Elephas maximus indicus: one gene and its partners. The protein of the gene in region 2 interacts with the protein of the main gene of each other region in a pairwise test. Links are inferred from orthologs where the notes say so. Each region holds a gene or a part of one and is shown on either strand. Other genes may lie near its edges.

Region 1 (8,071 bases), on a different chromosome or scaffold from region 2:
TAATCTTCTGAATTTCTGATTGTTCTCTGTCTATGGATTTTTACAGCTTATTAAATTTTTCATTATGTTCCTGAATAATCTTCCTAATTTCTTCAATTGCCTTATCTGTGTGTTCCTTGGCTTGTTCTGCGTATTGCCTCTTTTCCTTCCTGATGTCTTGAAGGGTTCTGTTTATTAATATTTTGTATTCCGCCTCTGGTAATTCCAGAAGTGCACGTTCATCTAGAATATCTCTGTATTCTTTGTTTTGAGAGCCTGTTGAGGTGATCATGGTCTGTTTCTTTGTGTGACTTGATATTGACTGCTTTCTCCAAGCCTTCTACAAGGTATTGTATTAGTTTATGCTTGCTCACTGTGTCATAGCTTTTTGCTTTGCTTTTTTTTTGTTTTGACATGCTCAAATGGTTTGCTTGAGTGAGCTAGCTTGATTATTTTCACCTTTGGAGCTCTGACATCTTGTCCCCAGATGGCTAGAGCTGTTATCAGGTATATCAGTCTGTGAGTTCATTCAGTTTTCTTGTATGAATTCATCTCAGGTGTCCAGGTAGCTGATCATCAAGTGTGTGGTACAGGCTGTGTCCTACAGTCTTAGGGGGGCAGGGGTGATTGGTGTATGTACTGGCATCTGATTGCAATGGGGGTCACCCTCTGAACAAGGCAGGGGGTAGAAAACCGACCCCTGAGTGTCTCTGAGGAAAGCACATCCCTGTTCCCTAGAGCATGCAGGTGGGTGAGTTCTGCAGATGGACCATGGGTACCCAATGTTTTTGTTTGTAGGAACTGGGAGGTACCATTTATTCTTGCACCCCCTTTCGTGTGTGGCTGGGTGATCTGAGTGCAGCTACCAGTCCTTAGGCCCCTATGTGGGTAGGTGAGGACACTGTTTAATAGGCAAAGCAATGTCAAGTATCAAACACCCACTTCTCCACCTCAAAGCTAAAAAGGTTGGATTCTGCAAATATGGGTGTTGTCTCCTGAAATAGGCCCACACAGGTCCATGCAGAGGGGAAAGGTGCTCAAAGTCCATGGACTGTTTATGCCTGGACAGTAGCCGCTTCTGTCCTGAGCTCCCCTGGTTAGTGGAGCTGACAAATTATCGTTTCCCCCAATTGCAAATTTTTTTCTTCTCCAGGGCCAGGAGGATGGCCCTAGGCACTGAGCAGGGCCTGTCTCAGGCCCAGGGAATTCAGCCATTGAAGGTGGCTTGGGGTTGGGGATGCACGGTAAAATATATGCAAGTACTTAGCTTTTGCCGGGAGCGCCGTTCTTCTCAGCTTCCGGAGGTGTGAGTAGGGTGTGTTGCTGGCTGCTTCTCCCTGAGGAAACTGCGGTTGAATGCTAGTACCAGTCTGCCACCGCTGCTCCGGGAATGGTGCCTGAGGGCTCCGCATGATTCAGGTCCAGTAACTCCTCTCCGCTTCTGAACCATTTCTTCCTCCCCCTGCCCCTCTGTTCTTTTGCTAAGCTTGCCTTTGATATTCAGGGCTCCTAGCTTGTCATAAATATACTCGTTTCACTTGTTTTTTAGGGTCTTTGTTGTAAGGAGGGCTTGCTGGAAGCGTCTGTCTATTTCACTGTCTTGGCTCCTCCTCCCTCATAGTATTTCTAGTTCTAGTTTTTTAAGGAAGAACCATACTTAATGATCATTTTCTGATTTTGATAATTCTATTTCAGCTCTGTACTAGAATATTTTCTGTAAATATTCAGTGAAGTATTTAGGGACATGGTGTCTGCAATTTACTGTCAAAGGGGAAATCATGTGTATATAGAGAGAGAATAATAGAACAAATATGGTAAAATATTAAAAAAAATTGAAGGAATCTGTGTGAAGGAGTTATTTGTACTATCTAGCAACTTTTAAAAATAAGTTTAAAATTATTTCAATTTAAAAAGTAAAAATATTTAAAAATGTTTGTAATAAAAGTAGGAGAGTAACTTCATCTTTTTGGCAAAGTGTACAAATCACAAACCATAATGGGAAAGGGTGATACATTTGAGTAGAGAAAATGACAAATTTTTGTGCAATAAAGAACTCCATAAATGGAAGTAACAGGCAAAGCACAAGTGATGAGAAGATATTTGCTATGGCTAGGATTAGTGTCTAGAATGAATATATATATATATATATATATATATATATATATATAGACACACACACAGAACTACAAATCAGTGAGAAAATCATGCATGATTCAATAGAAAAATCCAGTAAAAAAGGGTATGAATAGGTAATTAACAGAAAGTAATAAGCATGTGAAAAGATGACCAACTGTACTTGTAATTAGGTAAAGATAAATTAAGATAACAAGGGTATACCATTTCACATTTATTCAGTTGATGGTCCAAAATTATAAAATTTGATAACACCCATTGTTGGAAAGGATAAAGAGAAAAGAGGATTTTTTAAAAAAATTTTCTTAAGTGGTTCAGTGATTCTAGAAATGATTTAACAAGATCTAGTAAAGTCGAAGGTGTGTACCCCTAAAACCCAAACCGAGTGCTGTCGAGTCGATTCCGACTCATAGCGACCCTATAGGACAGAGTAGAACTGCCTCACCCCTACAACCCAGCAATTGCACTTTTGGGTATAAACTGAACAAAACCAAACCCATTGCCATAGAGTTGATTCTGACTCATAGCGACCTTGTAGGACAGAGTAGAACAGCCCCATAAGGTTTCTAAGGAGCTGCTGATGGATTCAAACTGCCGACCATTTTGGTTAGCAGCCTGAGCTCTTAAACATACCCTAGATAGTCTCTACCTTCTGTGCCAAGAGGACATATACAGGGGTGTTCATTGCATCATAGTCGATAATAGTGAAAAATTGGAAACACCTAATTGTCATCAACAGAGAATAGATAATTTGTGGTATAGTCATACCATGCATTCAGAATGAATGAAGTATATCTACATGCGTCAACATGTAGAAATCTGAAAAAAATCTTAGTTGAAAAAAGCAAGTAGCAGAAATTTATAGTGTAAAGGCTGTAAACACAGAAAACAATGTATACTTTTTGTGAATAAATGCATACCAGTATGGAAACCCTGGTGGCATAGTGGTTAAGTGCTACAGCTGCTAACCAAAAGGTTGGCAGTTCGAATCCACCAGGCGCTCCTTGGAAACTCTATGGGGCAGTTCTACTCTGTCCTATAGAGTCGCTATGAGTCGGAAGTGACTCGACAGCAGTGGGTTTTGGTATCAGTATAATAACATGGTTGCAAGGAAGTATACAAACCAACATCATTAAGATGGTTACCTCTAGTGCAAAAGTAGGGAATGGGATTGAGTAGTAGTATAAACAGAGCTTCAGCAGAATCGATAACATTTTATTTCTTTAAAAACAAAAGGATTTGAAGCAAATATGGCAAAATGCTAGCAAATGTTTAATCTGTGTGGTGGATATCTGTATGTTTGTTAAATTACTATCTGTACCTTTATGTTAATTTAAAACAAACAAACCCAACCCAACTCAACCAAAAAACAAAATAACACAAAACAGAAAAGGAGATACAGACCCTGCCCTGGAGGAATTTTGGGATATTTAAAGAGAGTCAAGTAATATGTCATTACAATATAGAAAGATGAAAGCCACAATTAAAATGGACACCTAATACAGATGGGGTGGGGTTGGGCAGGAAGAAGGTGAAGAAACATTTCCCAGAAATGGCAAAGGTTTCCATGCCTCTCTCCCACACTGAACCAAGTCCTGAAAAACAAGAGGGCTTACCCAGGTGAAAGGAGAAAAGGTTGTTTCTAGTAGATAGTGACATTTGCAAAACCCCAGAAAGGAGAAAGAAACCTCAGGGCTTGGTCTGGGAGCTGCCAGTGGCTTTTCACAGCTGAAGTAGAACAGGCATGGCAAAGAAAGGGACAGAGGGTGTTGGCAGGTGACCCTGGCAAAGGCTGTTTAGAATAGGGTGAGGAGTCCAACTGCCTCCTGCCTCCTGAAAGAAGGATAGAAGGCTAGAAAGCTGTTTAAGCGGAAGAGTAACAGGTGTATCACGAGTTACGAAAGGATGAAATATCAGTCAGGTTTTTTTTTTTTTTTTAAATTTTTTTTTAAAGAGGAAAACCAGGGAAGAAATAATGGGGTCTCAACTGAGATAGATGAGGTGGTGACTAACCGATGCCAGAGTGTCTAAACAGTAGAAGGCAGGGAGGGATTAGCTGTAGGTGTGGGGAGAAGAATGGAGGAGGTTCCTGGCCTGGGCATCTTGGATAGATGATGGAGTGACAGGTGCTGAGTTTTGTGCCACCTGACTCCTCTCCTGGCCACTCCATGATTATGAGCACCTTACACACGTTTAGTTCAAGTATAAAAATGTACAGGGGAAGGACTGGGGATGGTGGTTACCACTGGAACGGGTTTTTGTGTGGGGGATGGATGGGATATGTGTGGCATTAGATTAGCCTAGAATACTTGAATTTAAAAAATAACGCTGATGTAAATGCAGCATAGGAAAACATTAACTTGTGTTAAATCTCAGTGAGCACATGGATGTATTGTTTCCTGAACTTTTCTGTATGTTTGAACTATTTAATAACCACATTCAATAATCAAATGGCCAAAAATGTTGGGACCAGTATTGGAGGAGTTTAAGTACATGAAAGGATGTGAGCTCTACAAAGGGGTTAAACCATAAAGCAGCGGGGGGCGGAGAATGGTGTGGTTGTCAAGTCTTTGTGCGTGCACAACGCGTGTAGAGAGAAGACTCGGATGACTTGTACGCGGCTGAGTGTGGATGGGCGCTGGAAGCAGCGGGCGAGGAGAAGAGGCCCTCCCGACCCTGCCCCTTCCCCTCCCTCTACTCTAGCTCCAGCCGGAGGACCGACCCGAGCCCCGCCCGAACTCCGCCCCTCCCTGCCGCCCGAGCCCCGCCCCGAGCCCCGGCTCGGCCCCTCCCCCTTCCGTTACACCGCCTCCCGTCTCCAGGTAACGAGAGGTCGAATGACGCGGCCTCGAGGCAGCCGCTGCAAGCAGGCCCCTCTACTTTCAGACCCTGGGTCCTCGGACGCGGAGAGCCATGGCCTTGCCCCTGCTGCCTGGCAATAACTTCAACCGCAACGTGAGTAGTGAGGACGCCCGAGGTCAGAGGTCCTGGCAGGAGTGTGGGTAGTCATTGACCCCGCTGGTGGCCGCCAATCGCTAGTTATCCTCCTGCCGGTTGGGCTCATCTTGGACCAAACTTCATAGGCTGGTGGAATCCTTATTTCTCTGCCTTTTGTCATCTCTCCCTCCCCTCTCTCCACAACTGCATCTGGGTGCTTTTCCTACATTAGGTACACAGGTAGTGTCCTTATAGGTGATAAACGAAACGACAGTACCCGTGAAAGTAAATGATGATAATGACAGTAATACTTAGTAAATGTTGAGCGTTTAAGGTGTGTCAGGAACTGTGTTTTAATCGCCTTATAGGGCATTTGATGCTCCCAACAGCCCTTTGAATTAGGTACTATTTTTACTTCCATTTTGCATTTGGGAAATCTGAGGCACAGAGTCACTCACCGACCCAGAGCTACACAATCTCAGTGGTGGAGCTGAATATCTTCCAGGCAACCTGTCCTCACAGCCCAGGAGCCTAATTATTTATCCTCAATATAGGGTGTGAAAGGGATAAATATAGTTTTCCATTAGTAAAGCAAAGAAGCCTGGCACTCTCAAGGGGGATGGGGGCTGATTGGCACTGAAACATGGAGGAATTTTTTGAAGGTACAAAACAAAACAACAACAACACAAAATACTCTGAGCATTGAAGAACTTTAAGAAAGGTGTTTAAGTAAGGTGCTATTTATTCACCTTAAGAACATTCAGGTGAATAAATAGCACCTTACTTAAACAAGAGCAGAAAAGCCATTCAGGCTTTTGTTTGCACTGGTCACTGTTCTTTACTTGGGTTTGCCAGTTGTGTCTGCAGGAAAAGGTAAATAATAAACCAATGGGAAGGAACTAGATGGAGCAAACAGTTGGATGTTGCAAATAGTTAAGTGCTGGACTACTAGCAGAAAGGTTGGCGGTTGGAACTCACTGAAAAGCACCTTGAAAGACAGCCCTTGCTATCTGCTCCTGGAAAGTCATTGCCTAGAAAACCCTATGGAGCAGTTCTCTGTATACATGTGGGGTCTCCATGAGTTGGAATCAACTCAGAGACAACTAACAACAGCAGTTCATAAACTTTCTAAGCTTAAGCATTTGACTTTATGAATTCTGAACATGTCTGTATCCAAGTCGATGACTCTAAAGTACTGGTCAGCTTTGTAGCCTCAGTCCACAGGATTCTGACCCCCCCATGCGTCTGTTCAGTCAAAAATATTGGTTTGCGCATTTCTTGCCTGGTGGGTAGAGGCTGGCCTTCCAGCACAGCGCGGCCCTTTGGTAAGATTAAGCCAGCCATCCAAATAAGAATGGGCCTAGAGAGGCAGGGCATGAAAAATGAAAAAAGATTCCAGAAGTAAAAAAGCATGCTGTGTAAAAGTAATTTTAATAAAAATTGAAAGTGAAGCCCACACCTTTTGGCCCACAATGGTTCAGATTACTGATGCCCACCACTTGCAGAAGTATCACAGCTCTCACATGCAATGATTAAGGGTGGGAAGGAAAACCAGTGGTTGGAGGAGATATTTTAAAATCTGCAAGGCTGTACTGGTGTACTTTTGCTCTTTTTTTTTTTTTACCCTTTTACTGTGAAGCACAATGTATAGAAAAATGCACAATGGATGATTACAAAATGAATGTCAAGAAATGGAACCTTCCCAGAATTCCTAGTGTTCCTCATGACTAGGGTTGCCAGATTTAGTAAATAAAAATACATGTCCCAAATATTGCATGGGATATACTTATACTAACAGATCATCTGTTGTTTATCTGAAATTCAAATTTAACTGAGTTTTGTATTTTATCTGGCAACCCTACCTATGACCATTCCTGTTCACTATTCCTTTCTGACTCTCCAAAGGTAACCACTCTCCTGGTTTCCATCACTATAGTTAGGTTTCCCTGCTTTTGAATGTATTATAAATGGAATGTCTAATGTTTATTCTTTTGTGAGTAGCTTTTTCAACTCAACATTATGTTTGTGAGATTTGTTCATGTGGCTCTCTGTAGAGGTACTTATCCATTTTCATTGCTCTATAGTATTCCATTGTATGACTATGACATTGTTTATATGTACATTTTACTCTTGATAGATATTTGGCTTGTTTGGGGCTATTAAGAATAGTTTTGCTATGACTATACTTGTTCACCCCTTTTGGTACTTCTTAGATCACATGGTATTTATATATTTAGCTTTAGTAGACACTGTCAAAATGGTTATATCAATTTAAATTCCCACCAGCATTTTATGTTCCTATGCTCTACATTCTAACACTTGATTTTACTAGTCTATTAAATTTTAGTTATTTCAATAGGTGAGTGTAGTGTAACTCTTGGTAGATTTAATCTGCATTTCACAGATTCCTAATGAAGGTGAGCACATTTTATGCATTTATTGGTTATTTGGATATTCTCTTTTGGAAAGTGTCTGTCACTTGTCTAATTTTCTATTGGGTTGTCTTTTTTTTTAGTGACTTGTAAGGGTTCTATACTTATTTTGGGTATAACTTCTTTGCCAGATATATGCGTTGGAAATATCTTCTAGTCAGTGGTTGGCCTTTTCACTCTCTTAATGGTGTTTTTGGTGAATAATTTTTTTCCTTTAGGTTTATGCTTCCTGTTTCCTATTTAAGAAACCATTCTTTACACCAGGTCGTGAAGATATTTCCCCATGTTATCTTTTGGAAATTGTGTTGTTTTTACCTTTCACATTTAGATCTACAGTCTACCTAGAATAAATTATTTGTGTGTAAAAGAGGGGTAGGGATCAAGTTGTATTCTTTTCCCATATGGATATTCAGTTGACTTAGAGTCACTTTTGGAGAAGGGTACCCTTTTTCCACTCCTCTGCAGAGCCACCTTTGTCATACATCAAGTGTCCATATATGCATGAGTCTGTTTCTAGACTCATGAGTGTATTTAAAAAAATAGAATTATTTATGCCTAAGACCAGTAGGAATGTGTGTGTGTGACTTGAA
Region 2 (7,424 bases):
GGGGAGGGAAGGGAAGAAGGGGGCATCTCTTAGGATCCATGTGCACCTTGCTGTTAATGCCCCTGGCCTGGAGGCCCCAGCTCTGTCCTCTCTGTTGGGCCTTAGGCCTAGATGCCAACACCGCATCCTGGGCATCGGAAGTCTGCCTCCCTGGCTGCCTGGATGCTGCAGCCAACACAGGCCACATGGAACCAGGTGTCACAACCATCACACTGAACCCAGGCCACTGTCTCTTCTTGGGGCAGGCAGCAGCGGGGAGCTGCACAGGGTTCCCCGCCCCCAACTGCAGGGGGGGCCATGGGGGCGCTCACTGGGTGCTTCCGAGGACGCCCACGACGGTTTCTAGGAAGTTGAGGGGAAGACACAAAAACGAGGGTCACTGGAAAACTGTAGGAGAAGCCTCGAAATCTGGGTAACTGCAGGGTGAACCTGGAAACTCCTTGGAGGCTTGTAGTGTGAATCTAGATAAACTCTTGGTAAGACATCTGTAATGTGAGCCTGTAAACGGTCCTCAAAATCTGTAGGGTGGATCTAGAAACAGTCCCTGAAAATGTGTGGGGTGAGCCTGGAAATGTCCCATCCTTAGGCACTAGAAGAGTGGGGTTGAAGATGTCTGAATGTAAAAGTAGGAATTCTGTGCTGATCTATTTTAAAACCACTGCCCCCATCCCACCTAACTCTTGCTGTGTCCTGTATATATATTGTTTCTGTCAGCAGAGCTAGCCCAGGTCTTGCCATTCCAACATCAATTCCACCTCTGCCCACTACCTCCCATCCCCACCCCCAAGCAGAAGGCCTCTTCAGGGCCTGGGGTTCTGAAACAGAATTAGAAAGCAGTGAAATATTGCTGGAAGGCAGACATGATCGGAAGGCCTCTCCACTTACCCGATGGGTGTCGGTGGGGTTTTCTCTCCTCGCAGTTTCTTCCTGGGCTCCATGAGGACTGGCGGGGGGCTCTCAGGCCCTTTCTCATCATCGTCCAGTTCTGCCAACACTCGGTGAGCTGATTTCCTCCGGTTTCTGGGGGCTGGGGTTCGGGCAGAAGGGGTGGTCCCCACTTCCCCAGGGGGAGTGGGAAGGGGTAGGCTCTGGGGCCCACCCCCACCCCGGGAGAAGGTGAGAGGCTGGGGCTGGAGTTTGCTGAGGCTGCCGATGGAGTTGAGGATCAGTGTAGCCTTTGGGGCAAGGGAGAGGGTGCTGAGGGGCCGCTGTGGAGCCCCCTGAGAGGGCAGCATCGGCTGGAAACCACCCCCGGACCCTGCTTCTCCCTGAGACAGTGGGATGGTAATGGCCGCAAAGTCCTGAGGTTTGACTCGAACTTGTTGGAACATGAAGTAGAACTCGGAGGGGCTGGTTCCTGGGGTCCCTTCAGGGCCAAAGGTTAGGAGGTCACCATCACTCAGCTCCAGCCTGTGACCCTTTGGGAGTCGGACATTATTGACTAAGGTCCCTGTTGATGGTGGGGCACCAGACAGATACAGACAGTGACAAAAAAGAAAGGACCAGAGTCAGGAGTGGAGAAATTTAGACCTGTTCGATTTTCTGGGGCCCATCAGGAGGAATATGACATGCTGTTGTCCTTCTTCCCTCCCTCATATTTTAAGCCCCTCAGGTGGTGACACCAGATAGTAAGCAGCTTGTGAGCTGGGAACAAGTTTTTTTTTATTGTGCTCTCCACGCTGATTCCTTTCCTCTCTCTGAGGTCCATGCCTCCATCTCAGTGGAAGCTCTCTCACCCAGCTCCAATTCAAAGTACAGTTATTATCTCAGCATAGCTCTGGAGCCAGGCTGTTTGGGTTCAAATCTTGGCTCCACCACTTACCAACTCTGTGCTCTTGGACAAGTTTCTTAACCTCTTTGTGCCTTATTTTCCCCATCTGTAAAATGGGGATATTAATGCCCCCCTACACTCAATGCACTTAAAACAGTGTCTGGTTCAAACAGGAAGTCTTAAATGAGTGTTAGCTACAATAATTATCTAATCCTTACACCTACCAAAGCAGACCCACTAAGCCTTACTATTTAGTTTTATCTAAGAGGAAACTAAGACCCAGAGAGGTGACGTGACAGGCCTGAGGTTTCACCAGGAGCCAGTGGCAGAACTGGGGCGTGAACCCGGGCCTTCTGAGGCTGAGACTATAACTACCTTTGAGTCAGGGAGAAAAAGATACACTCCCATTATTAAATTGTGATTTAATGCAACTACTTAAGATGGAAACAGGTGCCTCAACAAACCTGGAAACGGTCCAGTCTGAGTCTGGCCCCCAATGGCCACAGACATACCCCCTGATGATGTCCCAGGCACCGGATCTACTTCCCAGCCCCCTACAGACAGCTTCTGACACCACCCCTTTGGGGGGAAAATGATCTGGACCACAGCTCTATCCAACCAGACAAGGATTTTGGAGGCAGGCAGAGCCCCCATGGAGCCCCTTAGTCAAAAGCCTGGATCTGCAACCCTTCAGGGGCAATGCCGCCCTGCTCACTGCTCACCTTGGCTGCTGTGGTCCTCCAGACTGACCCTCCAGTCATCACCCTTGCGCTCAGCGTGGAGCTCGGCATGCACCCCGGAGATGAGGCCGGGCTCCCGCTGGGGCCGCAGAGCCACATCACACAGGTCGGCCCTGCGGCCCAAGCGATAGGTGCAGCCAGCCCCGGTGGGAGGGTGGAAGGTGTAGAGATCGCTGCCTCCTATGCGCAGCAGCTGGAAGCAAGGCAGCATGGGCGGTGCTTCTTTGCACCACGCCTTCCACTTCAGGAATCCATCACTTTATGCCGGTCCTGGGTCGTGTATGGCTGGTCCAAGTTCTCTTCCGAGTGTGATACTCAACCTGGAGCACACTCCCTGAGTAGGGGAATTTCAGGGGACAAGGAGCCTAGGCATGCAAAGCAAAATTGGCAGTCCAGCAGCTTTGCAACTGGAAAATTCGGGGAAGGTCCTTGGTGCAGTGACAAAACAGGAACACGCCCTATGGCACCTCAGTTGAGCCGGATCCTCAGGCCGCAAAATAATCGGAACGTCTCCAATCTGTGCAAAGCAATGATACCTTAGGCAGCTTTTGGGCAAATGCCAACTGGAGGGAGTGGGGGCTTGCTTCTGTGCAATAGAGCGCATCACCTCAGTGTAATTTGAAAAAAGCAGCTTCCTGTCAAACCTGCTTAGCCAAATGGAGTACCCCTTCTGCTCGCCCGCATCCCGCTTTTCTGGTTAATCCTCACTCGGAACTATTTAGTTTGGAACCCTGTGGGAAGCGAATCCACTGTCACCCCCCGAGAAGTCCCCCAAGTTCTTCACCAAAGCAGATCTAAACCCCTGCTTCCCAGTTTCCCTGGGTGGGATGAAAACAGCGGATGGAGCTCCCCGCAATCACGCAAGACTAATTCAGCCCTTTCCCTCCGGGTCCCAGCCCGGTTTCGGATCTACCCACGCAGTGACATCTCGGAGTGGTCTCCTTTCCAGACAGTGTCGGTCTGTGCGGAGGCCCCAGGACCCCTCGGGCTCCTTGGCCCGGACCCGCGCTCCCGCAGATGTTTGACAGCGAGGGTGCCCAAGCCAGGAGGGGCCGGGCCTCTGTGCGCGGGCTGACGCGACCCCTCCTTCGGAATTCCCGGGTCTCCAGTTCGCGCAGAGGGGGCCCGCCCCCTGATGCCTTTGATTGGGCAGCTCTCTTGTCCTCGCTTCATCCCATTGGGCAGCGCACTGGTATCCCTGCACTCCCGCCTTTCACCTTTTCTGATTGGTTCACAAGTTTTCCCGGGTTCCCGGAGTTGGGAGGAGCCACCAGGGCGCGGAGATACTCAAACACTGTAATTGGACCCAGTTTTAGACGCTACTGCGCCTGCGTACACTTCGCCCCTCCTTCCGGGGTGAAATCTGGCTTTGGAGCGGCCCACAAACCGGCCCGCTCTGCGCAGGCGCACTCAGGGGCGGAGTCCAAGGCCCCGGAGCTGGGCGTAGGGGGTGTGGCCTAAGGCAGAGGGGGTGTTCTCGCGCTGGGTAAGGGGCGTTCGAGAAGAGTCGGTTGGGGGCGGGAAGGGGCTGAAAGGGGTGCGGGGGTGGGCTTAGGGGGTCCATAGGAAACAAGAGGTACAGGGGCTAGATGAGGTGGTCAGAACAGCCTTAGCGCCCTGAGGGTGAAGGCTCAGGGGAAGCGGGTGTCTGGGGAGAGCGGGGTTGAGAACCGAGCATCGGCTGGAGTGCAGGGGGCGAAAGTACACTGATGAGTTGGGAGGTGAGAGTGAAGAGCCAGGATAATTCCTTCAGGGTAAAAACAGATTAGGAGGTAGGGAGGGACAGGAGTAGGTCCCCGATTAAGTCAAAAATAGATAAATTGGGGTGGGATGGTGGGAAAAAGATCTTGAAGAGCTAACTGTATGCTCCAGGACTTTGGAGAGGGGAGAGTGGGCAACAGGAATGAAAGCTGAGGGCATAGTAGAAAGAAATTGAGAGGAAGGTTGCAGGGAGGATTTGGATGAGATGGCAGAAAGACGGCCTTCTGCCTAGGGATCTTGCTGGCTGTATTCCCAGGGATCCCGGGGAGGCGTTTTGCCCCACATGTGGCCACGTTCACCTGGGGCCAGGCCTTGGGCAGGGGCTTTTACAGGGAAGGACCCAGGAGTCATGGCTTGGTGGTGCCTGGATGGGCTTCCCCAAGGCCTTGCTGAGCCATGGAGAGAACTCTGGAGATTGGGCTCGCAGCCCTTGGAATCCATAACTTCGATGCGCAGGACCAGCAGGGACTATAGAAGCTTAAGGAAGAGGGTAAAAGCACTGTCGAGAACCCTAAAATTATGAGTAGAACCTAAGTGCATCCCTCCTCAGGCTGTCTCTCAGTAAATTTCCTCCATCTCTGGGGTTATTGCCAGAGTTCTGTCAGGATCTTGGTTGGGACAACCAAGTGAATTTGCAGCTCCTCCTTTCAGGAAATAGGAGTAGGTGAGAGTGGGGTGGACCTGGCTGCTATTTAGGAAGGATGACTTTGTTAGTGTAGGGGCTTTCTTTTTGGAAGTAGGACTGAAAATTGAATTGGAGTGTCCTTTTTTCTCCAATTGTCCAGGGGAACATGGATGGCTGGAGACAGAATCTAGAGCTTTCAAATAATGTGGAGACGTTGCGACCTTCAGGTCAGTGGGACTAGGCAGGGGACTGGTGATTGCCTCTCCCTGGGAAACTGACCATCTGTGCCCTTGTGATTCCTCAGGTTCCACTGGGCTAATTCCCCCATCCCACTTCCAAGCTCGGTCCCTTCCAACTCTGCCAAGAATGGCTCCCACCTGGGTTGCAGACATTCCCTTGGTCCAATCCCCAGCCCATCAAGATGTCTCAGAGAGGCGGCTAGACAACTTGAGACCTCAAGTGCCAATGTGGGAACGGGATGCTTCTGGTGATGGGCAAGAGCCAGGGCGGAGAGTCAGGTAGGGATCCATCATTGTCGTTTTCTCAGGCTTGCTTGCCTTTGACCGTCCATCAAAACAGATTCCTTACCCTGTTTCAGCTCTAGGTTCCATAATTTGTTCATGTTTGTATAAACAACTATTGGGTGCCTACAACACATAAATAATAAGGCTAGGGATGAGGATAACAAAAATGAATGAGAGATCCTGATATTAAGGAATGGAAAATCCTGGGGAAGGAGACAGATTGGTCAACAGGTGATCCTAATAAGCATGAAGATGTGCAGACCAGGAGTATAGACTTGGTACTGTGGTGGTGAAGGAGCCCTGGTGGTGCAGCGGTTGAGCACTTGGCTGCTAAGTGAATGGCAGTTCCGACCCACCCGGTGGCTCTGAGGGAGAAAGACTGGCGATCTGCTTCTGTAAAGATTTACAGCCTAGGAAACCGTATAGGGTAGTTCTGCTCTGTCACATTGGGTCGCTATTAGTCAGAATCGACTGACAACACCTAACAACTGTGGTGGTATGGAGTCATTCTGATGGTGTAGCTGAAGAAAGCATTTACAGAGGACATGGCTTTAGAGCTGCCATGCTATTTGTTGATGTGCTGTCTGTAAAACTTTTTGACCTTTCATGTGTGTTTTCCCCAAATAGACTGGAATGTCATTCTGCCATTTTGCTCTAGAGTGGGCTTACACACATGAGTCTACCTTGGACCCCACCAAAGAGGAAGGACCATAATGAAGAAGAGGGACCCCTGGACTGGGGACGGAGACCCTCTAATGCTAGCTTGGCTGCCAAGTGGCAGACCTTTGCCCAGTTAATTTTCTTCTGAAAAATCTTTTGGTTTTGGGCTTCAATGAGGAAGCTATCGCAAGAGCCTTGTTATGAGTTAGTTTAAACTTTACACGACACCAGTAGACTATATACTCCCCAAAGGTAGGGTCTATGTAATTTATTGATGTACTGTCCCCTTTGACTCCTCATGTAATATACTGAGCACTCACTAGGTGCGTTTAACTAACCCCTGGCCTTACTGTACTGGTACTAGAAGCTCATGAGTGCTATACCTTTGCTCCTCCTTCGAACTTTTCCTTGCCCTTACATCAGAATTCAGAAGTCTCTGAGTGTTCTTCCAACCTCTCCACTCAGAATGTGTTTCCTAATGGCATACCCTATTCACACTGTTTCCCACACCTCTTGCTTTCCTCTTCTACTGCGACCCTTGTGTGCATTTGATGTTTAATATATATATATGGCTCTCTCTAGGTGTATGTCTCATGACCTCAACTAGCCCTTAGGTCCTGTGAGCCCAGACCAAACCCACTGCCATCGAGTCAATTCCAACTCATAGTGACCCTATAGGCCAGAGCAGAACTGCCCCATAGGGTTTCCAAGACTGTAATCCTTATGGAGACAGACTGCCACATCTTTCCCCCATGGAGTGGCTGGTGGGTTTGACCTGCCAACCTTTAGGTTGGCAGCCGAGTGCTTAACCACTGCACCACCAGGGCTTCTTATAAGCCCAGACAGTGGACCTGATATGTGCAGGGCCTCAATGAATGGTGATGGTGATGTAAATATAGAGATCCCTGTGTAGTATTCCTCATGCCTCTCTGCAGAGGCCCCGTGGCCCATCTTCATGCCCCTGCCTACCCCAATGGGAGCAGAGGAATCTTTTGCCTCTTCCTGTCTCCTATGACCCTGGGTGGGAGCAGAGAGGCCCGAGTATCTGTGTCCAACCTCCCAGTACCAGAAACACATCTCACCTATGTGAACCTGTCTTTGAAGGTCCCTGGAGGGGTCTCAGGCCCTGACCCAGCAGGCTGAGTTGATCTCTCGGCAGCTGCAAGAATTGCGGCAGTTTGAGGAGGAGATCCGGCTCCTGCGGGAGACCTCACTGCAACAGAAGATAAGGCTAGAATCCCAGGCCATGGAGCTGGAGGCTCTGGCGCGGGCAGAGAAGGCAGGCCGAGCTGAAGCCGAGGGCCTGCGGGCTGCCCTGGCTGGGGCTGAGGTCATCCGGAAGA
Region 3 (7,832 bases), on a different chromosome or scaffold from region 2:
CTTACGACAAAGTCATTCATCACTTTCTAGCCAAGCAACTGGACTTAATATGGTCTCTTGCCCTTTTCTGTAGGTAATCTGTATTTCTTTTTTCCAATTAATAGTTCAAAGAAAGGATGGAATAATTCAGGTTTTCAAATCCTGCCAGGTATTTCATGATAACTATTATAGGTGAATATAGGGTTCTACTGAAGTATAAGAATCTCATGCAAAACTGTAACAAATGACATCTCATTATGTTAGGCTATTCCGTTACTTTCCATATTTAAACATACTAAAGTGGCAATAGTGACTTTTCATGGACTTCAGCATCTGATCTCAGGCACTTATAATAGAAATAGAGCTGTGGTTCGATTCTGAGTTTTGGCCACACAGGAGTGCCAGGTATTTCGGAATAAACGAATTCTACATGTTTCTGGCTGTTTGGAAAGTATTGCCAGCACGCTGTTTGGTGTCAGTTCAACAGCCACTTTGTGCTGAGAATTAAGAACCTCAAACTCAACTAATGTTTTACTTCACAAAGTTCAGTTTAACTGAAGGATTTACCATTTGTCTAAGAAAAAAGCCACAGAGCAATTTTTATCAAATAGCAACTACTACAAAAGGAATGACAGAAAATGACTTCATGAAAACACTCTAAAATTTTGACAATTTTATGTAGGAACTGCCAGAGTTTTAGTGTTTAATAACAGCACAACAGACCAAGGTCCGAGATGTGAAGTTTACCATATTCAAGAAAAAAAATTCAAGAAACTACAGGAAAAATCACTCCGAAAACTAACTATATGATTTACGGTAAGAACACACACTTTATAATATAAAACCTGTCTACACGTAGTAGTTAGGTGCAAAAAGCCATTCGGTCTTCTCTTGGCTTGTAAAAATTGTGTTCCAGACCTCACTGTAAACTATTAGCAACCTGTTGAAAAAGGGAACACCATCAAGATGTTTTTCATTATATGAGGACAAATAAAAATGATACACAGAATTATCAACTAAAAATCCTTTCAGAATTCTCTAGTGAATAAAACATGTTTTCTTTGTACAATATTCTAGCAAAAACACAACTGGTTTAATTAGAACTTTGTAAAAAATTGTGACTATTTCCTATTCCCACTGCTTTGTATCTTCCCTGTCTCTCCAAAGTCTTCAATCCTGCAGTTCTTAAGGATGTTCTCAATTTGCTTTATGGGATATCTGAATGCCAAATCACAGAAAAGACCTAGAGAAGTTTATAAAACTAGCAGGGCATTTTCCAAATTACCCATGTCAAAACATGAAGTCCACAGGGGGAGAGAATAAAAGGGATGCTCGCTGGGGCCATGGCTGGGAATTCATCTAGAGAAGTTTATCTACATCAAAATAATACTTAAGAGGTACCTCTCTGTACTCTCCTTTTTTCCTTCTTAAAAATAATTAGCTCCTTCCTCACCTTCAACTCTTTTGTGTGGCAGGAATCTTGTTTTCACCTTCCAGTTCTTCCACCCCAGCCTGGGTCATGAGGTCTGCAATATTTTTCTCTAGATCATCAATGCGACTACTCATGTCATCAAGTGATCAAGTTAAAGACAATGAACAGCATTTCCACTTCCCCATTTCTTATCCCCTTTTTCCAAGGTCCTGTACTATGGCCTTAAACACAATTGTGTTAATGAAACTGGTTTTCCAGTTTCCTCTGGATATTCTGAAGAGTACAGGAACCTGGGGCAAGGATGCCCAGGATCAAATCCTAACCCTGCCCCTTGCCAGTGATGGGAGCCTGGGCGAGCTTTTTCACTTTACTAAACTTCAGTTTCTTCATCTGCTAAACAAAGATGGTGACAGCATCACCTATTCATAAGGATCTAAGGAGTAGACACAAGAAGTGTTTGGCTCACAGTCAGAAGTCAATCACATTAGCCATTATTATGGGAAGATTGTAAGTTCCCTGTGGCCAGGGCTCTGTCTAGTTCAACTCTGTGTTCCTAGCCCTTAGCACAGCACTTCTGGGGAACAGAGGACATCCAGGTAATCTGGTAAATGGCAGGCTGAAACTGGTCTGCAAACCACCCATTTTATCTACCGAAACAACAACAAAAAACCAGTTGTCCAGTGGATTCCAACTCAGCGACCCTATGGAGCAAAGTAGAACTGCCCCATCGGGTTTCCAAGGCTGTAATCCTTATGGAAGCGGACTGCCACAGCTTTCCCCGTGGAGAAGATGGTGGGTTTGAAGCCCAGTTAGCAACCAGAGTTTAATCACTGCGCCACCGGGGCTTCTTAGGCATCTACCGACTACCTGGCAAGTAGGATCCAAGGCCCATTAGAGGCTGACACGAAGTAAAAGGATATTTCTTCCAATGATCTGGTCGGACATGGTCTGAAATTTATCTTGCATCTGTTGCAACAGTGTCTGGACCTAAGAGAAGAAAACATCCTTATCCTGAGGCACCTTCATGGGATCAAGACAGAAACCTGGTCTAGGAGTGAGACCTGGACCCCGGGCTCCAGCCCCAACTCGGCCTCTTGGCGGCTCTGCGACCTTTAGTCAAAAACTTCCTTCTCCGACTTCAGTTTTTTCTCATCTGTTAAATCAGACTGAAGGCCGGCGGAGCCCCTTTCAGGGTGGGCCCGCTGTGGTTCAAAAACGGCAGGGTTTTTTGGTTGTTTTTGGCGACTTGAAGGCATCACGCACACATCTCGGGGGTGCGCCAGAGCTGAGGGGTGAGCATGGGACGTTGGCGGGAGCATGGGGGTCATCAGGGGCCTTCAGGGGCAGGAGGAGACACACCCAGGAGGGGTCTGGGGCAGGGAGAGGTCTACACCGAGGGCCCCGGCGGGTCGCGGAGGCGGCGAAGCCTCCAGAAACGTCTCGCGCCGCCGCCGCCGCGGGCCCCGGGAGGCGCCCGCGGAAGATGGCGCGTCCTCGGGCCCGCGCAGCCGCCCCTTACCACCGAGGTGAGATCCTGCATGTTCTTGGGGTCGGTCTCGGCCATCTCCCCGCTTCCCAGCTTGGCGGTGATATCTCCGACCGTCACCTACACTTCCGTTTGTCCGCGCAGACGCCCCCAGCGGCTTCTTCTCGCGACGAGAGAGAGAGAGAGAGACCGCGAGACCGCGGGGTATTGTGGGAGCTGTAGTTCAAGTCAACGCCACGGAAAAGCCCCGAGCTCTCGCCTTTGTAGATACCCCGGTGGCTTAGTGGTTAAGAGCTACCGCTGCTAATCAGGAGGCCGGCAGTCTGAATCCACCTGGCGCTCCTTGGAAACTATACGGGATGGTTCTACTCCCTCCTATAGGGTCGCTATGAGTCGGAATCCACTCTACGTCAACGGGTTTGGTTGTTTTTTCTTCCGTTTCTGGAGCCCTGGTGGCGCAGTGGTGAAGAGCTCAGCTGCTAACCAAAAGGTCAGCAGTTCGAATCCACCAGCCGCTCCTTGGAAACCCTTTGGGGCACTTCTACCCTGTCCTGTAGGGTCGCTATGAGTCTAATCTGGAAAGCAAAGGGTTTGGTTTTGGGTTTCTTGCCCTTATGGTACTAAGCGAGGCCCCGCCCTTCTCCGCTCACCTCCCCCCCTCCACGGTCGTCCTCGCCCCACCCCTCCTCGCCCTAACCTGTCTCACCCCGCCTCTTCGGCTTCGCCCTCCGCCTTTGGCCTTACCCCCCTGCATTGCCCCATTTCCCACCCCGCCCCTGCCTTGCCCGTCCGGGCCCTGCACTGCCCTGCCCCTGTTGCTCTGCCGCCACCTCTCCCCGCCCGTCTTTAACTTTCCCGTCCCCGGCGCCCGCCCCTCTGATCTCCTTTTGGGCCTCTCCCCTATAGGGTCGCTATGAGTAGGAATCGACTCCACGGCACTGGGTTTGGTTTTTTTTGTTTTTCCCAGGCAGAAAAAAGTGGAACAAAACCGGATCCTGGCAAATAGGGAATGCCCTGACCGTCTTCCCGCAGTAGTTGGGACGGCTTTGGCTTCCTGGGGTCGATTGGACGAACATCCCGGGCCCTGCGACTATCAGCCCAGCTGTGCGCGTCCCCGCGCTGTCACCGCTCTGGCATACCTGAGTCCAGCAGAGGGGCTGGCCTACTGTCCCTTTCACAGGTGCACCTGTGCACACCAGGTAGACCTATGTACCTGGAGGGGCCCTCAGGGCAGAGAGGCAACCAACGGTCCGCCATGCCAGTGGCTGCCAAGCTCTGGCAATGCCGGCCCAGGTGGGTCTCCGCTGCCCCGGGGCCAGGTGGCTGGTGCGATTCTAACTTTCAGGTACTGTCTAACATGCCTACTGCAAAGTGCAGAAATCCTACGTGCCTCCGGCTTAAAAACATGGCCAGCCCACTAGGCCCTCTCCTACCCGGCAGAAGTCACCAAGCCCTGACTTTTCACATCGCACACTGGTCTTGCCTTTGAATTTCATGTAAGTGAAATCAGACAGTGGGCCTCTTTCAGTGTCTGGCTTCTCTTGCAATGTGATGTTCCTTGGTGTTGTTGGGGAAGGCTTCTTTGGTAAAGGAGGGGACAGTGTCAGGGGGCTAAGAGACTGTGGGTTTTGGTGTTTCTTGAGATTAGAAGCTCAATCTTGGGGTTCCCTATTACCAGCTTTCCTGCCCCCTCCTGCCTTCTAGTCCTTGCCCCTAGGCTGGTGTGCCCCTTTAGTCTCATTTTGTTTTATGGGCCTGTCCAATCTTCTGCTGAAGGGTGAACCTCAGGATTGACTTCATTACTGATCCGAAAGGGTGTCTGGGGGCTCCACTCTTGTGGGTTCTCCAGTCTCTGTCAGGCCAGTAAGTCTGGTCTTTTTTTGTGAGTTAAAATTTTGTTCTACCTTTTTCTCCAGCTCTGTCCTAGACCCACTATTGTGATCCCTGTCAGAGCAGTCAGTGGTGGTAGCTGGGCACCATCTAGTTGTACTGGACTCAGTCTGCTCACCTGGATACTTTTGTCTCAGTGTTTTTGCTTAATCCTCAGAACACCCCTGTAATATAATTATTATCATTTTACAATTCTAAGAACACAGTCCCAGAGGGGCTAAGAAACGTAAACAAGGTCATCCAATTAGGAAGCAGTAGATGCAGCACTTGAACACAGGACTTTCTGACTCTACATCTTCTGCTTTTTCTATCATTCCAGAATTCCGTGAGTTTTCTGAGCTTCGAGCAGGGTTTCTCAACAGTGGCACTGTTGACACTTGGGCTGGAAAATTCTCTGTCATGGGGGCTGTCCTGGGTGTTCTAGGATGTTTAGCTGCATCGCTGGCCTCTATCTGCTACATTCCAGTAGCACCTCTAGCGTGAGAACCAAAAATTCCTCCAGACATTGGCAGCATCCCCCAGGGGCAAAACTCCCTCCGATTGAGAACCCCTGGCTTAAAAGGGTCTGTAGACGCTGCCTCGAATTCTGTGTACTTGTTCTTCGAACATGAATTTGTTCTTGCTCCGGCCGTTTCTTGAGAATGTTCTTCCATCTATGCTGAGATTGAAGGCTGGTGAAGTAACATCACCTTCTTCCATCTGTGTTGTGCTTGTTACTTTATAAAGAGTTTTCAGAAACCTCCAGTCATTTAGCTACCAAGTAGCCAAGGGGAGGTAGGACCTCCCCCTTCTTACTTTAGACCCCATCATTCAGGGCTACCACCCTCAGCGTGGAAGTCTGGGTACCTGCACCCTGGACACCGAAGTTGTGAGCCACCCTGGTTTATGGCCTTTGAGGAACAGAAGGACGTAAATTTGCATCAGGACCTGGAGTATTTTTTCCCCCTCTGGCAGGAGACTTGAGGTTTTTTATCCTGTTTGAAATTTTCTTTACATAAACAGCAAATAAACTTGGCATTCTTTTAGTGGAGGTTTTTGTTTTGTTCCTTTGTTTTTCACTTCAATAGAAAGACTGTATAGTCTGTGTGGCAGAGACCACAGGTCTGTTAAACAGCTGCTTGGTGTGAAAGCTTCACTAATTTATAGTCATGGCTGATATACTTTGTGGGGCTGACACGCTGAACCTAAACTGAATATTGTCCCATTAAGAAAACTAGTGTATTATGTGTAAGGCACTAGTAATTAACCTTTTAGACTTCACTTTTCAACAACCCTCATTTTTAACCTTTATTTAAAGTGTCGTAGTTGTCTTAGCTCCTCTTAGCACTTTTTTTTTTTTTTTTTTTTACTCTTTAGCTCTTTCTAGATTAATTGCATGTTGTAATTCTCTTTTCGCCTTTCAAGAGGGTTTGGTTTTACATGGGCTTAATATGGTGCTTTAATAATAGCTCCTTGTTTTGAGCTGGAATGCTCTCTTTTTCCAGATATATGCTGAGGGGGTGTTCCTGTACAGGTGTAGTTGCTCAGCAATGAGATTTTTGCTTGTCTGTTTGCTTTGCGTAAGCAGATGAGGAATGGCGGCGGCGGTGGTGGCTCGGTGGTAGAATTCTCACCTTCCACGTGGGCGACCTGGGTTCGATTCTTGGTCAGTGCACCTCATGTGCAGCCACCACCTGTCTGTCAGTGGGAGCTTGTGTGTCGCCAGGATGCTGAGCAGGTGTCAGTGGAGCTTCCTGACGACAACAGACTAGGAACAAAGGCCTGGTGATCTTCTGAAAATCAGCCAGTGAAGACCCTATGGAGCTGTGTGGTCTGATCCACAGCCGATCATGGGGTTGGCTCAGGACTTGGCAGCATTTCGTTCTCCTGTGCGGGGGGTCACCATGAGACGGAGCCAACTCAATGGCAGCTAACAACAAGCAGAGAAGACACGATTAGAGAAGGGATTTAGAGAAACCTTGTAATCTGTTCTTTCCGTCGCTGCACCTGTATGGGCTCAGAGTCGCTGTGGTTGCTGCTTCTGCTGCCGAGAATCCCACACCTGAGTGAGCTGGTGTCACAGCAGCTCAGGATGTGGGGCCTTATCCTTCCAAGTGGCCTGGCAGGCCCCCTGCTCTCGCCCTCCAGTGGTCATTTCAGCCTTTGCAGTCTCTTCAAACCCTAAAAAACCAAAAACCAAACCCACTGCCGTCGAGTCGATTGCAACTCATAGCGACCCTATATGACAGAGTAGAACTGCCCCATAGAGTTCCCAAGGAGCGCCTGGCGCATTTGAACTGCCGACCTCTTGGCTAGCAGCCATAGCACTTAACCGCTATGCCACCAGGGTTTCCTCTTCAAACCCAGGATAACCTTATTTTCTATATTGTGGAGTAAATAGAGCCGATCAGTCAAGGCCCCTTAATTCTCACCCTCCACACCTACATGTTGTTGAAAGAATAATTGGTCGTGGAAGGTTGATGAGGAGGGGTTGGGGATTACGGAGCTTAGATGGGTGGAGGGGCAGCCCCTCCATTGTGATTTCAGGCTAGAGGATCATGGAGGGAGACTGGTGCACTTGGCAGCTGGCAGGTGTTGGAAGTTGCATTTCAACATGTTATACTTACTCTGTTTTCATGCAGATAGTACATACCTTCTGCATTGGTTTGCCAGCCTCCATCCCTCTCCCCACCCAGGTATTTTTGTAAGCACCACTATGCCAACATTTCTTTACAGCAACATGTTAAAAAAAAAATTGGCATAGCGGTGCTTAGGAAAATATCCCACGGGCGGAGGGAGCCACTGACAAACCAATGTAGAAGGTGCGTGTTATTTGTGTAGAAATACACAAATACTGCTCATGAGCCCTCTTGAGGACATTGCCACTTCCCTGACTTGCTCTCGCACCATCCCCTCCCCAACTTTGCCCCAGCCACACTGCCCTTCTTGTTGGGCCCCTGACACACGGAGCAGGCTCAAGCCTACGGACCCTTACCTTGGCTGTCCTTTCTGCCTGGGGTATTCTTTTCTCAGATATCTGCAGCACTCACCCTCCAAGTTCTTTAA
Region 4 (7,405 bases), on a different chromosome or scaffold from region 2:
TTTTTATGTGTTTGAAAATTTACATAATGAAAAATATAAAAATGGAGAGTTTAATAATAGTACCTACCTCACAATAATTGTGGATGTAAAGCAATTATCATCATTATATTAGGAATTCACAAAACCTAATTATTACCACCAAAAAATCAAACCCACTGCCGTTGAGTCAACTCCAACTCATATTTTTAAATATCCCACTTAATCAACCCAAAAAAACCCTATGAAATGCATAATCATCATCTTGATTTGGCAGATGAGGAAACCAAGATTTCGTGAACTTAAGAAGTCAGGAATCCTGCAGTCACCCCTGGGCTGCAATGTTATCTGAAACCAGAGTTATCTGACTCCACCTTCACCCTGCCTTTATTTCAGTAATAGCTCTTTTTGTTCTACTTGGCTGAGATCTTTACGATTATGATATCATTCATTCATCTAAGCCAGTGGTTTCCTAACTCATTCCTCAGCAGCAGAACCCCTTTTTCCAAGGCAGCCTTACTCAGAACACCAGTAAGGAAAACAGATAAAAGCAGAACAGCTCTGTCGAAGTGAGGTCTGGGACCCAGAAATCAGGCACTTGGCTCCAAGGTGGCCCTGAAGCACTGTAGGGTCTATGGAACATACTTTGAAAACCCCAGATTGAAGCCAACAACAGTAACAACCCAAATCGTAAGAGTCACATAGTAAAAACAGCCTTCATTTGTATAATGCATCTTTTGTTTTCCTGTAGCCCATCACATTTGATACTCATTATCACCTCTGAGGTGGACAAGGCAAGGCACATCATCGTCAATTTGCAGATGAGAAAATCAAAGCCAAATGAAGTTAAGCAACTGGCCAAAAGTGCACCAGTTCCATTGTCGGCCAACTACAGACTGGAACTAGAGTCTGTCTCCATTAACTCCATGTGACCTGGCAGAAAGGGTGCCATCTACTGGAAATTGCTACTGACTCTCGGCCATCAGGAGCTGAGCAGAGCCCCATAAGCCCCTCTGCCAAGGCCCTGTCCCTGAGCAGATGGTTATGGCAGGGGCAAGGGGCTCAGTATCACTGGAGGACCAATCCCATCAGAGCCATGTCGTGTTGAGCACATGGCTGGGGAGACAGTAATAGCCACAGTGTCCTTCACCCTCATCTGCCACAAGTAGGTAAATGCAGCAGGCAGGGCAGATCTGTGTAGCAGTTACACTTTGCCTTTCTTCTAGCTCTTGCTTGGAAATCCCTGAATCCAGAGGCAGTGATAATTGCCTGAATGGCTCCCCAACTCCACAGCATCTCTGAACCGAGCCGGAGCATGTGTTGGGATCGGTAGCACTTAATTATCACTTAGTCTTTATTAGCACTTAATTATTAACACATAATCCATCTGTAAAATGGGGACACTAATATCTGCCTCATAGAGACTCTGGGAGGATTAGTTAACGTTTGCAGTCCACTTTGAAGATGCAAAACATTGAAGAAGTGCTCAACGGTGGCATAAATAACCACACTGGATTTATGTTCTTTTTCTAATGAGGTCCCTTCTTCCTCTCTGCTCCTCCCTCTCCTTTTGATTTTCCATCCCCAACAATATCTGCCCAACTTTGCTCTGTTAGAGAAACTCTGAGCTCCATATTTCCCAGTCATAGGATTCCCTATCTAGGAAATGGGCTATTTACAGCCATCTTTCCACACTTTAATTTTCTATTATGTCCTCTGAATATGTCAATGCCTTCCCAGTAAATATTTTGATGTGAGTTTTTGCAGCGGCTTCTGTGGAGGCTGAATGGGACAGCTGCTCCCTGTATTAGGGAATTCCAGATGTGATTTAAAATTACCAGACTCATCTGTGTGAATGCCCAGCCTTTGAGGGATGGGAAGAAGGAAGGATCTTCTGGTTGACTCTGGGGAAAGCCATGGGCTTCAAAAGAGATAGCCACCTAACCCTCGGCCTTGGCTAGGATGGCTTTTCAAGGACCTCAGACACAAATCTGGTTTAGGTCTGCCTTTAGAATGAAAACATATTCTCTTAGTGGACTGGTGAAGAGGCAGCCTGGAATACAGCCCTGGCCTGATCCTTCATCCACAGCCATGATCAGCTTTTCTCTCTAAAGCATGGACGAAGACCATGGTTGGGGAGGAGAAGTATATAGCTTTAGGATGTAACCTGACTTAACAATGGGCCAGAACATTCCCCCAGCAGGTCAGGTCTCATCTCCTCCCTCTTCCCTTGGTACCATCCAAGCAGGGAGACACTTACTGTTCTTGGAAGCCAAGTCCATTGTTTCTCGAAGTCCCAGGCGTGGGGGCAGAGAGCTGCTCCGTCCAGGTCCTGGGCTGCATGGCCTCAGGCAGGCCCTGAACCCTCTTCCAGATTTCATGGCAGGTCTTGTCTAGGCTGTCTTGGGGTGTGTCATGGTGGATCCAGATGTATCTGGGGAATGGGCCCAGGGCGGAGGGAGGCTTGGCCACCAGGGCCGAGGACGAAGGGAGTCCATTCCCACTGGCCATGCTCCTCCTCTCTCTCTGGAAGCCCCTTTGTCCACCCAGAGCTCGAAGACTGGGGGACCATCCACCACTACCCCTCATTCACCAGGAAGGGAGATGAGGATGGGGCCTGGCAGAGGCAGGTCAGTTCTGTCTGGTTGTTGCTCCAGCAAGGTGACTATGTTCAGAGGCCCTCGATTTGGGTGTGAGTGGTGGTGAGTGAAGAGCTTTCTTTTGGGGAGGGGGAGCTTTGTGTGATTTGTTTTTATTTGCTCTTTCCTGACTTTTGCCCCCCTCCCCCTCTCTCTTAGAAGAAAATACTTAAAAGTCAACAAAAACCAGTAGCTTAGTAACCGTGGAATCCCCGGCAGCTCAGGAAGCAGGCGCCTGGGCGGGCAGAATGACATCTGGGAACAGCTGGAGGGGGAAGGCTGGCTCTCCCCCACAGTCCCTGACACTCCCCCCTTGCGACACACCCCTGGCACCTTGCGGCTGCTGGGGCTCAGCCCATTCTCTCCCACTAAGCCAGCGGATGACCTGTTAAGAGCCTGGCACCGTGTTAGGCACGGTGGGGGCAGGAGGCCACCATTAGAGTCTCAGCTCCGCCTTCCCAGGGACCCCCGCGCAGCCTGAGGGCCAACGGCCCCTGCCTTCCCTCCCCCCGCTGTGTCCCCTCTTGCTCGCCCCACTAGCCCCCGCCTGTACCCTTCTCCAGGGGTTGTTCTGCCGCCCTCTAGAAAGAAAACTTCAGCGGGTAAGTCTGGGGCGCGCTCTGCGGCCTTCCGCAGCCCGCCCCCAGCACCTCCAGCAGACACCTGCCACGTCCTCCGAACCGGGACGCGGGGATGGGCACCAGGAAGGGTCCCTACGCCTTAAAAGGGTGCTGTTTCCGTCGGGAAGGCGGGGCGAGGCGGCTTTGGCCTGTTTGCGTGCCAGTGGCTCTCACGACCTTGCCATCGAGCGGTGGAATTCTTTTTGTGGGTTTCAAATGCAACGGCTGGGTGCGCGGGGCGCCCCAGGTTCGGTGCCCAAGGCCCTCTGCCGCCGCGGGCTGGGGGCGGGTGAGGCGGCGCCCCGGTGGGGAAGCTTTCCCCCATTAGAAGTTCACCAGAGGAGACAGGCTGCGGCCTCGGTCAGCTACCAAACACAAACGTCGCGCCAGCCAGGGGGCCTGCCCCTTTGTCAGCCAGATTTTACCGCTAACTGCCGTTTCAGTCAGGCGCTTGCCGTGTGCCAAGCTCTGAGCTTTCTGCGTTCTCATACTTGATCCTTACAAGCTCCCGCAGTTACTATCGTTTATTATCGGTCTGCATATACAGAAACGGAGGCTCAATCACAAAGGGATATGTCTATGACCAGCTAAGAAATGGGGAGCTGGGATTCAAACTTGGGCACTCTAGGCCTGAGCCACTGAGATAGACAGCTCTTTCCTGTGCTTCATTGAACTCAGAACTGAATCAGCAAACTCGGACAGGGGCTCTCTAGCCTCAGGACTCAGTGGTTGTTCCTCCAGAGTTTCCCCAGAGAAGGAGGAGCAAGAGGTGAAGAAAGGAGAATGGATGCAAATAGGCCAGCTGGCAGCCTAAGGAGGTAGGGCTGGGTTGAATCCTGAACTGTCACTTCCAAGCCCTGTGTCCCTGAACAGCTTTCTTGACTTCTCTCATCCTCATTCATTCATCCATTTCCCAAATATTGGCTGAACGCTTCCTCCATGCCTTGCTGGGAATTGAGGAAACATGAGAATAAACAAAAAGCATGGTCCCTGCTCTTATGCAGCCTATAATCTAATGGAGGGAGATAGACCACAGACTAGCCAAGCAAGTAAATAAACATTAATTATAGATTCCTGGTGATTCAGTGGTTAAGTGTTGGGCTGCTAAGGGGAAAGGTCTGTGGTTTGAACCCATGAGCTACTCTAGGAGAGAGATGTGGCAGTCTGCTTTTGTAAAGATTACAACCTTGGAAACCCTATGGGGCAGTTCTACTCTGTCCTATAGTGTCGCTCTGACTTGAATGCGACTTGATGGCAATGGGGTACAGATCCCTGCATGGCACAAAGGGTTCAAAGCTTGGCTACTGGGTGGCACAGGCAGTTTGCACTTAACCGCTCACCTAAGAGTTGGAGGTTCCAACCCGCTCAGTGGCTCCATGGAAGACAGGCTTGGAGATCTGCTTTCATAAAGATTATAGCCAAGAAAACTCCATGAAGGAATTCTACTTTCTAACACATGGGGTCCCCATGAATTCGGGGCTGACTATAGCAGCTAACAACAACAACAACAACTAACCCTAAGACAATTCGAATGCATCCGGAGGTGCTTCTAAAGGCCTGATACTTCTGAAATGCAGTGTTGTTCCACTTTGAAACACATGTGGTCACCGAAAGTTGGAATCTACTTGAAGGCAACTGGTTTGGTTTATTTATTTATTTATGTTTAAGAGATGAAATAAGGGGCACGTAGTGGTTAAAAAAAAAATTTTTTTTTTTTTTTTTTTTTTTTTTAGTGGTTAAGTGCTACAGCTGCTAACCAAAGGGTCGGCAGTTCAAATCCGCCAGGTGCTCCTTGGAAGCTCTATGGGGCAGTTCTACTCTGTCCTGTGGGGTCGCTATGAGTCGGAATCGACTCGACGGCACTGGGTTTGGTTTTTGGTTTGGTGATGGAAACCAACAAGTGAGGCATGAGGAGGGGAAGGGGAGAGGGAGAGAAAGAGGGAAAAGGGCAACATTAGATGATGGTCCAGGCAGGCTTCTCTGAGAAAACAGAAGCATGAGAGTCCTTTTTCTGTTAAAATGGTGTTCATTATCATGGGAATAAAATTTCTGGCACACAGTAGGTACTCAATAAATATGTGTTGAATGAATTAATGGTATACTGTATGTAACGTGCCTGGCATACAGTAGGTGCCCAATACACGACCGTGCTCTTTACAGAGGAGCTGAGTTCCTAGAAATGTTGACTCTAAATTTTGAAATCCGAGTTTCATTCCCCTTTGATTTTCATTATAAAGTTGAAGATGTGTTCCTTTGGGGAAAATTCTGAGGACCTAGACTGAATAAAATTATAGTTAAGAATGTAGAAAACCTTTTAAGATAGTGTATTTAAAGGAAAAGTGATCATTTCTGATGAAATATTAATAGTTCTGAAAATGTCACTCAGTGTTTGTGCTGCTTGGCATTTGGTTGGCTAACACCCTATGCTTAGAGCAGAACGCCAACAATCCTGCGCTGCCCAGACCACAGATTCTGGAAAGTTAGCCAGCTTACTCACTCCTCCTGTTCTCTCTCCTCTTCAGCAGGAGACTGGGCAACAGGGTCTAAATCAGAAAGGATTAGGAAAAAAAAAAAAATACAGTAGGGACTGTGAATGAAGGTTTGCTTCTTGGAATATACAGCTGAGGTTTCTAGAAGATTCTGCAAAGACCTCAAGTAATGTACTTAGAGAAAGTATACGCTGCATTTTCCAATATGATAGCCACTAGCCACATATCTGTTTTAAATTTAATTAAATATATTTAAATAGAGTTAAAAATTCACTTCCTCAGTGGCACAGGCCACATTTCAAGTACTCAATAGCCATGTGTGGCTAGAGACTATACCATAGTGAACAGTGCAGAAGATATTTCCACTATTGCAAAAACAGATTCTTAAGCCGGACTGCCTGAGTTCAAATTCTGAGTTCAAATTTTCTGGCAATGTCAACTTAGACAAGTTACCTAACCTTTATGTGCCTTCATTTTCTCATCTGTAAAATAGGGATGATAATAAAGAACACCCACCTCATAGAATTGTTGTACCTGTGTAGATGTTCTATTATCAAGTAATTACTAAACACATGGAAAGTCCCAGGAACAACACCTAGCCCATAAAAGTGTTGTAGTTTGCTTGCTGATTACATTGAAATGCGTATCTCCAAATCACAGGCCTTCATGTTATGTGTGAGGAGGGAGAACTTCACTTGTACTTTTAGGCGTACTGGGGAAATTGCTCTGTGTTGGAGGAATGGAATCAAAGCATCACCTGAGCCTCCCAAGGATCTGTTCCTTTTGAGTATTCATTTTCTGCAGCTTCTGTTAACAAACTACCACAGACTTGGTGGCATAAAACAAGAGGAATTTATTTTCTCACAGTTTTGGAGGCCAGAAGTCCAAAATCGAGGTGTTGGCAGGGCCATGTTCCCTTCAGAAGCTCTATAGAAGAATCCTTTCTTGCCTGTTCCAGCTTCTGGTGGCTCCAGGCATTCCTGGGTTGTGGCTGCGTAAGCCCAATCTCTGCCTTCATCCCTTCTGTGTCCCAAATCTCCCTCTGCTTTTCTTTTGTAAGGACACTTGATTTAGACCCCATGAAGATGATTCTGGATGATCTTGTCTCAAGATCCTTAACTTAATCACATCTACAAAGACCTTTTTTTTTTTTTTTCCTCCTAAATAAGGCCACATTCACAGATTTTAGGGATTAGGATGTGGGCATATCTTTTTCAGCAGATGGCACCTTTCAGTTCACTGTGAACACCTACTGTGTGTGGGTCAAGACTGTGCAAGGTACAGGAGTTAGAGATGAGTAAGACCTCTACTCTAGACAAAGTCACAGTCTAATTAGGAAGGAAAAACATTCCATAAGTGCCTGATTGTAAAAACGGGCTAGTAGTAGTAATAGTAACACCATCACCTATCTAAATTCAGGGGAGACAATGTGAATCACCATCAGCAAAAAGCTGATCCCTGTGAGGTAGAAGTCAGACATACCTCCTATCTCCAACCTTTTAACCAATTCTGACACCAGCCATCCCTCCCATGGCACTCTCTACTGCTCATCTGGGTTTGATAACCCATTGCAATGACCACACAAAATGACCACAAAAAACTCACAGATTGTACTTACAGTTGAGTGGTTTATTAAGGAACAGGGTGCCACTCGGGATCAGGATCAACAGGCTACAACTCA

Evidence for each region.
Region 1: the proteins of CCHCR1 (region 2) and EFHC2 interact in binary tests that used the Homo sapiens proteins (3 or more experiments, as listed by UniProt). The link is inferred for Elephas maximus indicus from reciprocal best matches to the Homo sapiens genes CCHCR1 and EFHC2.
Region 3: the proteins of CCHCR1 (region 2) and HSBP1 interact in binary tests that used the Homo sapiens proteins (3 or more experiments, as listed by UniProt). The link is inferred for Elephas maximus indicus from reciprocal best matches to the Homo sapiens genes CCHCR1 and HSBP1.
Region 4: the proteins of CCHCR1 (region 2) and C3H1orf94 interact in binary tests that used the Homo sapiens proteins (3 or more experiments, as listed by UniProt). The link is inferred for Elephas maximus indicus from reciprocal best matches to the Homo sapiens genes CCHCR1 and C1orf94.

What each region holds. Positions count from the first base shown.
Region 1 is NC_064846.1:128,993,544-129,001,614, forward strand, and holds the start of EFHC2 (EF-hand domain-containing family member C2), read left to right. Parts: upstream 1-4,954; 5' UTR 4,955-5,025; coding exon 5,026-5,067; intron 5,068-8,071. UniProt on the Homo sapiens protein: Microtubule inner protein (MIP) part of the dynein-decorated doublet microtubules (DMTs) in cilia axoneme, which is required for motile cilia beating.
Region 2 is NC_064819.1:91,462,718-91,470,141, reverse strand, and holds the start of CCHCR1 (coiled-coil alpha-helical rod protein 1), read left to right. Parts: upstream 1-4,415; 5' UTR 4,416-4,555; coding exon 4,556-4,762; intron 4,763-5,057; coding exon 5,058-5,124; intron 5,125-5,201; coding exon 5,202-5,415; intron 5,416-7,185; coding exon 7,186-7,424. Other genes in the region: TCF19 (transcription factor 19), read right to left, coding at 108-342, 886-1,450, 2,494-2,722. UniProt on the Homo sapiens protein: May be a regulator of keratinocyte proliferation or differentiation.
Region 3 is NC_064839.1:49,799,408-49,807,239, reverse strand, and holds the start of HSBP1 (heat shock factor-binding protein 1), read right to left. Parts: upstream 3,013-7,832; 5' UTR 2,976-3,012; coding exon 2,931-2,975; intron 2,399-2,930; coding exon 2,332-2,398; intron 1,554-2,331; coding exon 1,435-1,553; 3' UTR 1,433-1,434; intron 920-1,432; 3' UTR 1-919. UniProt on the Homo sapiens protein: Negative regulator of the heat shock response. Negatively affects HSF1 DNA-binding activity. May have a role in the suppression of the activation of the stress response during the aging process.
Region 4 is NC_064821.1:75,208,278-75,215,682, reverse strand, and holds the start of C3H1orf94 (uncharacterized protein C1orf94 homolog), read right to left. Parts: upstream 3,076-7,405; 5' UTR 2,566-3,075; coding exon 2,237-2,565; intron 1-2,236.